Linked DNA regions of Saccharomyces cerevisiae S288C. The gene in region 2 interacts genetically with the main gene of each other region. Each region holds a gene or a part of one and is shown on either strand. Other genes may lie near its edges. The genes, in order: GDI1, MSO1 and RHO3.

Region 1 (3,888 bases), on a different chromosome or scaffold from region 2:
TCTTTAAGATCACCTAGTATACGTGGGATATCTTTGTAGATTGTGAGCTCGTAACCATCTCTACATATAATTGTGAGAACTTCGCCATTACTACTTTTAACTGGCTTAAAGGGACCGTGCAAATGGGTATCACAATAGCAGGGCCAAATGGTGTAGTCCAAATCGAAGGCGGCCACGTCAGGGTATCCAGTCATAATAAACGCGTTGAGACTATTTTGGAGCAGGATTTGTAACAAAATTGTTCTCTTTGTAAGTTTAAGGACAAAAATGCTTGTTTCTCGAGAAGGTCTCCTTTTCGGCAGGTCCTTCTTCTAGTGCGTGAAAAATATTCTACTCAATCCCTTAGTATTCTTTGTAAACAATACACTTTAAAGAAATATGAATGCTTATCTGCTTTTCAACAATCATTTTAGAGTTCTTATTCACTGAGGTGCGAATGGGTACGAAATTTGTTTCAGGAGAATTTAGCTTGTTGCACACAAATTTCTGCCATTTATATCTGCAAGATCTGTTTCCCTCTTTCCAACTAGCGAGGCATATTAGAAAAAGAGTGAATAGTAACTTGTGTAAGTTTTGATGTAACGGTAGTATAGAGTACCTATAATATTCGCCGATTATATTCTCAAAACTTGTAAATAACGCCATGTCACCGTATGGAGAAAGTGCTAACCAAATTGTAATATCGACCAAGACCTTTTTCTGTGAATTATGTAAGTTTCTTAAAGTCCATGTCATGCTTGAAAGATTTTAATCAACCTTGCATTTGTGGTCGTTAAACTCAAAGGGGATATTCAAACGACAATCGACAACTAACTTCGAATAAACTAAGATTCACTTTATTGGGATATAATCAATTACCCTTCATTAAGTGGTGTATATGTTCCTGACGTATTGTCATTTTCGGGATAAGAGGTTTGATGACTATTTCTCGATTTTCATGTCATCCTCTTTACACCGTACGTGATAATACACTAATTACACGATATAACTGAGCAATGATATTTTAGAGCTTCATCTCCACAATTTCATGTGTAAATCTTAAGAATTGTAGATATATTCTATTTTTTAATGAAACTTTTTCAACAAATTAGGTTTCGTGGTCTAGTCGGTTATGGCATCTGCTTAACACGCAGAACGTCCCCAGTTCGATCCTGGGCGAAATCAATTTTTTTTTTCGAAAACGTTATAATTTACGTTAATTTACAAAGGGCATTCCTTTCATACTAAGCAATGTTTACTTCCAATCTCTTGAGACATCTTCGAAACTAGTTGAAAAGAGACAAATCCGCTTAATAACTAATAGTTACAAGAATGGCCAATCAAACTCTTGCCAAGCGATACAAGCTTTACAATCCTGTAACAAAAACATACTTTTAGCGGTTCCGACGGTATTCTTCTTTTTCTCCATATATTTTGCTTATGTTGGCTACTTTAAAATAATTACCGCTTCCCCCACCAGAAACTAAACATGAGCTAAAGGCGCAAAACTTAAAAAATTACATAGCCAAGACTGTTTTCAAGAAAAAAATATCAGACCACATTTGATAAAGTACATACCTCTGTTAACTCCCGTAATACACCCATATTCTTGTACTTTCTACAATCTATCACTCAAACTTCTCTATTATCCAACATCTGCTGTTGCATAGTAAAGTAGGCCGTAAACGCTCAAAACCGTTATCTTTAGGTTACCCTTATGTTTGAATCGTTTATCTCACATTGGCGGTGTTTTCCCCTCTCCTGTGGGCTCCAAAATCTTGGCCGTGGGAAGCTTCAGCGAGGGATTGTAGATGTAGTTTCAACACGTCGGCTGATTTATCCCGATTTTGTTAGTAGAAAAGGTTCTACTTCATTCTTGCTTGAGACGTCGTCCCATCAAATTTCTAACATAGTCTTTTTTCAAGGAAGGATATTTTTCAAAGCAGGACTGCAATTAGTCTTTTCCTTTTCTTTACTCCCCTTCCATCATAACTGTTAGTGAATAACCACTTATATAGCATAACACAATGGATCAAGAAACAATAGACACTGACTACGACGTGATTGTCTTAGGTACCGGTATTACCGAATGTATCTTATCTGGTTTACTCTCTGTAGATGGAAAAAAGGTATTACATATTGACAAGCAAGACCATTATGGTGGCGAAGCTGCTTCTGTGACCTTATCTCAATTGTATGAAAAATTTAAACAAAATCCGATCAGTAAAGAGGAACGGGAGTCCAAGTTTGGTAAAGATAGAGATTGGAATGTCGACTTAATTCCTAAATTCCTGATGGCCAATGGTGAGCTGACAAATATTTTAATACATACCGATGTGACCAGATATGTCGATTTCAAGCAAGTTTCTGGCTCCTACGTTTTTAAGCAAGGCAAAATTTACAAAGTGCCAGCTAATGAAATAGAAGCCATTTCATCGCCATTGATGGGTATTTTTGAAAAACGTAGAATGAAGAAATTTTTAGAATGGATTAGCTCTTACAAAGAAGATGACTTGTCCACTCATCAAGGATTAGACTTAGACAAGAATACCATGGATGAAGTGTATTATAAATTTGGGTTAGGCAATTCTACCAAAGAATTCATCGGTCATGCAATGGCTTTATGGACCAATGATGACTACTTACAACAACCTGCTAGGCCATCGTTTGAGAGGATTTTGTTATATTGCCAAAGTGTTGCCCGTTACGGTAAATCACCTTATTTGTATCCTATGTATGGGTTAGGCGAACTTCCACAAGGATTTGCTCGTTTGTCGGCTATTTACGGTGGTACTTACATGCTAGACACTCCAATTGATGAAGTATTGTATAAAAAAGACACAGGAAAATTTGAAGGGGTCAAGACTAAGCTGGGAACTTTCAAGGCCCCATTGGTTATTGCTGATCCAACTTATTTTCCCGAAAAATGTAAATCTACTGGTCAAAGAGTTATTAGAGCCATCTGTATTCTTAACCATCCAGTTCCGAACACCAGTAACGCGGATTCTTTACAAATTATTATCCCACAAAGCCAACTGGGAAGGAAAAGCGATATATACGTTGCGATTGTTTCAGATGCGCATAACGTTTGCTCCAAGGGTCACTATTTAGCAATTATTTCTACAATCATTGAAACTGATAAACCACATATAGAATTAGAGCCTGCTTTCAAACTTCTGGGACCAATCGAAGAAAAATTCATGGGAATTGCCGAATTATTTGAACCAAGAGAAGACGGCTCTAAGGATAACATTTACTTATCCAGATCATACGACGCATCCTCTCATTTCGAATCCATGACTGACGATGTTAAAGATATTTACTTCAGAGTAACAGGCCACCCATTAGTTCTAAAACAAAGACAAGAACAAGAAAAGCAGTAAATTCATACCTTTACGACTAAAGCAGCAATTGGAGGGTAAACTTATTTTTTCCGATAATGTTCTTGGCAAATGAGTTACCAATAAATGACATGAATTACAGAAAACAAGAAAATATTTGCCAAAAAAAAACCAATACAAAAATATAGGGGAAAAGATTATCCTTTATTCCTTTCTCATTCCACTTTTTTTTTTTGTTATATGCGTATTCTGATTGATTCATAACTAAGTATCTTTCCTTTTCTTTTCTTTCAATTTCTTTTTTCCATATATAAATACATAAATTTACATACCTTATGTAGTATAATATATGGAAGAATGCTACTGAACACATCAGTACACATGCTATGTACTTACAATCTTAGTAAGGTAGATGTAGGTCTAATGCTTCGATGATCCCTTCATTATTTCTTGGGTATAACTGTCAGTCTCGCACCGCAGTGTGCCCTTGTGTGGCCAGCCTCGTGACAAAATGAACATTTTATCTTATTTTTTTTCTTTTTACTACTCTTTTTGCTGGTTACTCCCT
Region 2 (3,057 bases):
ATGATAGAAAGTAGCACAGAATTTGGCTTAATGGTATATAAACCGTAGGGTCCTGGTAAAATTACATGGGAAGGATCCTTAGGCAGTAGGGAAAACTTATCAGGACAATTGAGTTATATTAACGTATTATATATTTTAATATGGGAAAGAACGTTTTGTTGCTAGGATCTGGTTTTGTTGCACAACCTGTTATCGACACATTGGCTGCTAATGATGACATCAATGTCACTGTCGCATGTAGAACATTAGCCAATGCGCAAGCATTGGCCAAGCCCTCTGGATCCAAGGCTATTTCATTGGATGTTACCGATGACAGTGCCTTAGACAAAGTTCTGGCTGATAACGATGTTGTCATCTCTTTGATTCCATACACCTTCCATCCAAATGTGGTAAAGAGCGCCATCAGAACAAAGACCGATGTCGTCACTTCCTCTTACATCTCACCTGCCTTAAGAGAATTGGAACCAGAAATCGTAAAGGCAGGTATTACAGTTATGAACGAAATTGGGTTGGATCCAGGTATCGACCACTTGTATGCGGTCAAGACTATTGATGAAGTTCACAGAGCTGGTGGTAAGCTAAAGTCATTCTTGTCATACTGTGGTGGTTTACCAGCTCCTGAAGACTCTGATAATCCATTAGGATACAAATTTTCATGGTCCTCCAGAGGTGTGCTACTGGCTTTAAGAAACTCTGCTAAATACTGGAAAGACGGAAAGATTGAAACTGTTTCTTCCGAAGACTTAATGGCCACTGCTAAGCCTTACTTCATCTACCCAGGTTATGCATTCGTTTGCTACCCAAATAGAGACTCTACCCTTTTCAAGGATCTTTATCATATTCCAGAAGCCGAAACGGTCATTAGAGGTACTTTGAGATATCAAGGTTTCCCAGAATTTGTTAAGGCTTTAGTTGACATGGGTATGTTGAAGGATGATGCTAACGAAATCTTCAGCAAGCCAATTGCCTGGAACGAAGCACTAAAACAATATTTAGGTGCCAAGTCTACTTCTAAAGAAGATTTGATTGCTTCCATTGACTCAAAGGCTACTTGGAAAGATGATGAAGATAGAGAAAGAATCCTTTCCGGGTTTGCTTGGTTAGGCTTGTTCTCTGACGCAAAGATCACACCAAGAGGTAATGCTTTAGACACTCTATGTGCACGTTTAGAAGAACTAATGCAATATGAAGACAATGAAAGAGATATGGTTGTACTACAACACAAATTCGGTATTGAATGGGCTGATGGAACTACCGAAACAAGAACATCCACTTTAGTTGACTATGGTAAGGTTGGTGGTTACAGTTCTATGGCCGCTACTGTTGGTTATCCAGTTGCCATTGCAACGAAATTCGTCTTAGATGGTACAATCAAGGGACCAGGCTTACTAGCGCCATACTCACCAGAGATTAATGATCCAATCATGAAAGAACTAAAGGACAAGTACGGCATCTATCTAAAGGAAAAGACAGTGGCTTAAATAAGAAGAAATGTATCAAAAGGTTTATCATACGTAACAGTAACGGCACTTTATAAATCTTTCTTTAGTATTACTTATACTTTCATAAGGAAACGTAAAAAAAAAAAAACCGGAAAGAGGGACAAAATGGACTAGAACGTAATTGAGAGTGTAGTTCCTGAAGCTTGAACCGCTAGTAAGTCGTCTACCTTTAGTCTAAAAAGTATTGGCTATTGCATTTTATAGTCTTGCTTCTGATCAGAACGTATTAAATGAGCTCGTAAAGACTCTTAGGAGTTTTTCACTTTTAGAGATTAATACTATTAGGAAAGGTGCAAAAAAATAAAACGCCAACTAACTATTAGACGCTAGGCCCTAATACCAACTACCAGTATAACTAAGATTTCACGCATATGATGAGTCAAGTATCGCATTCCCAAGAAGGATCCGGGCGATTTTGGAACAAGTTTAAGTCGTCAACCAAATCGTTATCTACATCGTTGGCACATTTATCCATTAAAGCAGAAAAAGATGGTGATACTGTAAATACTACATTGGTCCATAAAGGGCTTGTGAAATTCTATGAAAATCAGCATCCTTTCCAGGGGTTCCCAGGATGGTTGGGGGAGAAGGAAGATTTACCGAACGAACGTAAAATATTAGATACTCAAGTGAAGCATGATATGAAGAAGCAAAACTCGCGTCATTTCTCGCCATCCTTTTCTAACAGAAGGAAGGCTTCTTCAGAAGATCCTATGGGTACACCTTCTTCAAACGGGAACACACCGGAGTACACGCCTGCGAGTAAATCGTTTCAAGATATATACAATAATCATACAAGCTCCTCTAGCGCGACACCGAGAAGAGCTTCATCACGGCCGACTAGACCTTCAGCAGGCCAAGAATTCAGGGCAAGTCTCGGTCGAAGTAAAACGTCGAACAGTTTCAACACCTCCAGCACGCCAACGCCGCCACCAGACGCAAGTAGTGGAGTAATGGCAATGAAGGACAGACTAAAGAGACGCAATAACGATTATGGATTTTAAATAGCACTATACCTTGCTGAAATAAAGCGAAAAGAACATTTAATGAATATATAGGTATCGTATATGTACTGAATAAAGTGTTTGATACAGAATGCAAGGAGATAATATAGTATGGTATATAACCTCGTCCTTATTTTGAATATACATGAAATTACAACGCTTCCCTAGAGACCGAATCAAACGCAGGGATTTTATAGTAAATGATAATCAATCATAAAATTTCTCTCAATGGAATACTAACGACACTACTCTCATCGAATGGGGTATCGCTGTTCTCAAAATTTAGGTAGCTATGATCATGCATAGGTCTTGGTTTGAAGATGACTTTTATCAGGAATAGTATGGCGAAAAGAGTTGCAATCCCGGCAACAATCAAATAAACAATCCCTAATGCCTCGTTTCCAGCACCGATAATACTGTTTGTGGTTAATACAAAAGATTTTGTTCCATAGAAAGATCTTACTGGGTAGTTGAGTTCTATATCAGCAATGTAAATACCCTTACCTAACCCATTGGTCTCATTTTTCATTGCTAGCTTATAGAAGTTGGGC
Region 3 (2,941 bases), on a different chromosome or scaffold from region 2:
TCCGAATCCAACAGAAATTCACTTTTCATTTCACCAACAGGTGATATCTTATACAAAACAAGGCTATCTAAACTTTACCAAGAAAGCCCTAGATTATTACAGAAACCTGTGATTATGACAAGTGATAATGTATCTACAAATTCTCTGGTGTCTACAATCTCTTCATCATCCGCATCGTCGCTCGATAACGGTAATGAAAAGGAGGTGGGTGAAGACATAAGGAAACCCGCAAAAATTGCATCTTCACCAAGTCGAAAGCTGCTTAATTCACCAGAAAGTGATGGTAGCGTAAATCGTAACCATAGTAAGGGTAATTTGTTGGTCGTACAGTCCAAAAGAAAACCTACACCTTCGACTTATCTCGAGCACATGCTGGAGGGGAAAGAACAGGATGAGTAAAAACTTTTATGATATTTTGCAATATTTTTTTTAAGCAGTGGTAGTAATTACATAAAAAATATAAAATAGTAGGAGTATTATTAACTTCTATAACTTATTATATTATTTGTTTAGTCTCTCTTTTTGGGTTCTATTCTTTTGTGTGTGCGTCCGTGTCTTATTATATTACATAATGGTACAGCTGGATCCACTGTCACTTTTCACTTCGGTTGCTACTGGGCCCGCGGTTAAAGCAACTCTTGCGGCTTCTGTGAAAGCTTCGTTGACACCTTTATTCAGCTTAGCGCTACATTCCAAATAACGTAGCGCACCGATCTTTTTAGCCATAGCTAGACCTTCTTCATAACTTATCAGGTTTTTGCCGTTTGAGGTGCTATTTATGTTATTTCCGTTGTCGTTAGAAACGCTGTTATCCTGTTGGATATTGTTCGGTGTGATTGCGTTAGATTCATTTTCATTGTTTCTTAAGTCACACTTTAGTGCAACTAAGACTAACTTGACGCCTTCACAATGATCAGTGATTTCACCCACCCATTTATTTTGGACATTTTCTAAAGAATCGCGTGAATCAATACTGAAACATAACATTATACATTGCGTATCTGAATAAGACAAGGATCGTAACCTGTCAAATTCCTCTTGGCCCGCAGTATCCCACAACGATAGCGTGATATGTTTACTGTCAACGAAAATATCATGGATATAGTTTTCAAAAACAGTAGGCTCATAAACTTCGGGAAAATAACCTCTGGTGAAAACATTCAGCAACGAAGTTTTACCACAGGCACCGTCGCCCAAAATAACGATCTTTCTTTCGATCGGTTTATTTGACGTTGAAGCTGACCCACATAGAAATGACATGTTTGTTTCCCTTTACCTTGTGCTACTATGGATTTTAATGAAAAACTTGTTGTTATAAAGTAAAAAATGCTGACCAGAGCTAGAGATGAGAACGATAAAAAAACGAAAATCAATGGTTGCCTATTTTCCAGTAAATTCAAAATAATACATGTTTTTTCTTTCTTTTTCTTTTCTTTTTACTGTTTACCAATTTTCAGGAATGTTAAGAAAGATAAAAGAAATATACAAGATGCCATTAACGGGTAATGGCACCAGTATATCTATGACGGGTAATCCTGTTAGTGGATGTCAAAAAACGTTCTTGGGGTTTCCCGGACGCCTTACACTATTTTGTAAAAAAGCTCATCCACACCCCTCTCCTTGTATTTCTTATCTATAATCTACTATTTCTCGCGTAGGTGCGGTAACGCTGTTCCAAGAAAAAAGTTGGCCGACGACTGGTTCTGGGCCGGGCTCGACCGGAAGTGGTAAGTGGCCTCAATTTGAGTTTCGCTTACTCCTTCCATTCTTACAACACACCCGAAGTTTAATTCACGTGACCAGATAAGGGATTTATTATATGTTTATTGTAAAAAAAATAAGGTAGATAGACATATTACATTTCCTCGTGCTTATCGAAGTATTTTTCTTAGACATCTCGCATGACCACAATGCTGGCTCGAAGGCATTTACTCTTTCCTTGGGGAGATGTGCTTACTGTGATTGATTATGTATTCTTGCGTGCATCTGCAAATCTGCGTTGACTAATTTCGGAGTCTTTTAAACACAGAAGCATTACAGGCCCCTCTCCTCACTTGTGCCCAGTATGCAAGTGTGCTTTCCTGTGAAAACTCCTTCATTTTCTTTTCTTACGCATATGCATAGTCGGATTCCAGCTATTTCCATAGTAAAGAAGAAGAAAAAGTAAATACTTCCTTTTCACATGGGCCGGCCGATGCAGGTCCTCAGGTACTTCGTTTATAAGCTTATATAAGCATGCAAAATTAAACGAGGTGGCTGCTTTAAGAGCGTGCAGAATATAGTCACTTACTACCCTAAGTTAGGACTTTGTCTTAGGAACAAACACATCAAAAATGTGCAGAACAACAAGCCCGCGGGGGTTTTTGCGGTTGACTACTCCTGCTTCATGTCTTTTCTCCCCTGCCATTTGTGCTTCTGGATTTGCTTGAAGGTAACCTTAAAGGATCTGCGCATCTTTCTCTTACGAAAACAAGTATAAGATTTTGCCTGGGCAAACTTAAATTACGGAAAAAGGAGTCGTCGAGAATGTTGCCCTTCCACATTTGGATTAGCTGATAAACGTAAATTGGGGGGGGGGGGGGTCGGTTAAATTTTGTCGACGGGAATGGAATTTTCTCTGGTATTTGCCGCAGCTTGCAGATAGTAGAGCCGATCTTGTGAGGTTAACACCGCATATGGCATTCTGTTGCAAAGTTAAAATGCGTCACCCACCCTAGCGCCTAGGGTCGAGTACTGTTTTAAACTTTTTCAAGACCGGGCGTACCATTGTGCTTGTTCCTTACTTCGTTATTTTCTTGCATATTATATTGGTTGAGATTATTTCTATGGACTATATATAAATAAGGGACGGTCGTATTGTTCTTTTATGTCTGCATCCTAAAGAGTATTTTTTTTTATAGTCTTGTTTTCTTGTTCAAATTAAAGAAAGATCTAATAGTTT

Evidence for each region.
Region 1: mutations in MSO1 (region 2) and GDI1 together harm fitness more than expected from each alone (negative genetic interaction), as found in Saccharomyces cerevisiae (2 studies listed by BioGRID).
Region 3: mutations in MSO1 (region 2) and RHO3 together harm fitness more than expected from each alone (negative genetic interaction), as found in Saccharomyces cerevisiae (2 studies listed by BioGRID).

The regions. Positions count from the first base shown.
Region 1 is NC_001137.3:437,610-441,497, forward strand, and holds GDI1 (Gdi1p), read left to right. Parts: upstream 1-2,006; coding exon 2,007-3,362; downstream 3,363-3,888. Other genes in the region: YER134C (Mg-dependent acid phosphatase), read right to left, coding at 1-194; YER135C (uncharacterized protein), read right to left, coding at 343-735; YER137C (uncharacterized protein), read right to left, coding at 3,764-3,888. UniProt on the Saccharomyces cerevisiae protein: Regulates the GDP/GTP exchange reaction of SEC4 by inhibiting the dissociation of GDP from it, and the subsequent binding of GTP to SEC4. Plays an essential role in the yeast secretory pathway.
Region 2 is NC_001146.8:712,472-715,528, reverse strand, and holds MSO1 (Mso1p), read left to right. Parts: upstream 1-1,873; coding exon 1,874-2,506; downstream 2,507-3,057. Other genes in the region: LYS9 (saccharopine dehydrogenase (NADP+, L-glutamate-forming)), read left to right, coding at 141-1,481; YNR048W (putative aminophospholipid translocase regulatory protein), read right to left, coding at 2,718-3,057. UniProt on the Saccharomyces cerevisiae protein: Involved in secretion. Component of the secretory vesicle docking complex.
Region 3 is NC_001141.2:138,071-141,011, reverse strand, and holds RHO3 (Rho family GTPase RHO3), read right to left. Parts: upstream 1,261-2,941; coding exon 565-1,260; downstream 1-564. Other genes in the region: pheromone-regulated protein PRM5, read left to right, coding at 1-399. UniProt on the Saccharomyces cerevisiae protein: Plays an important role in cell growth. Required to keep the uninucleated state. Modulates morphogenesis during bud growth via directing organization of the actin cytoskeleton and the position of the secretory machinery for exocytosis.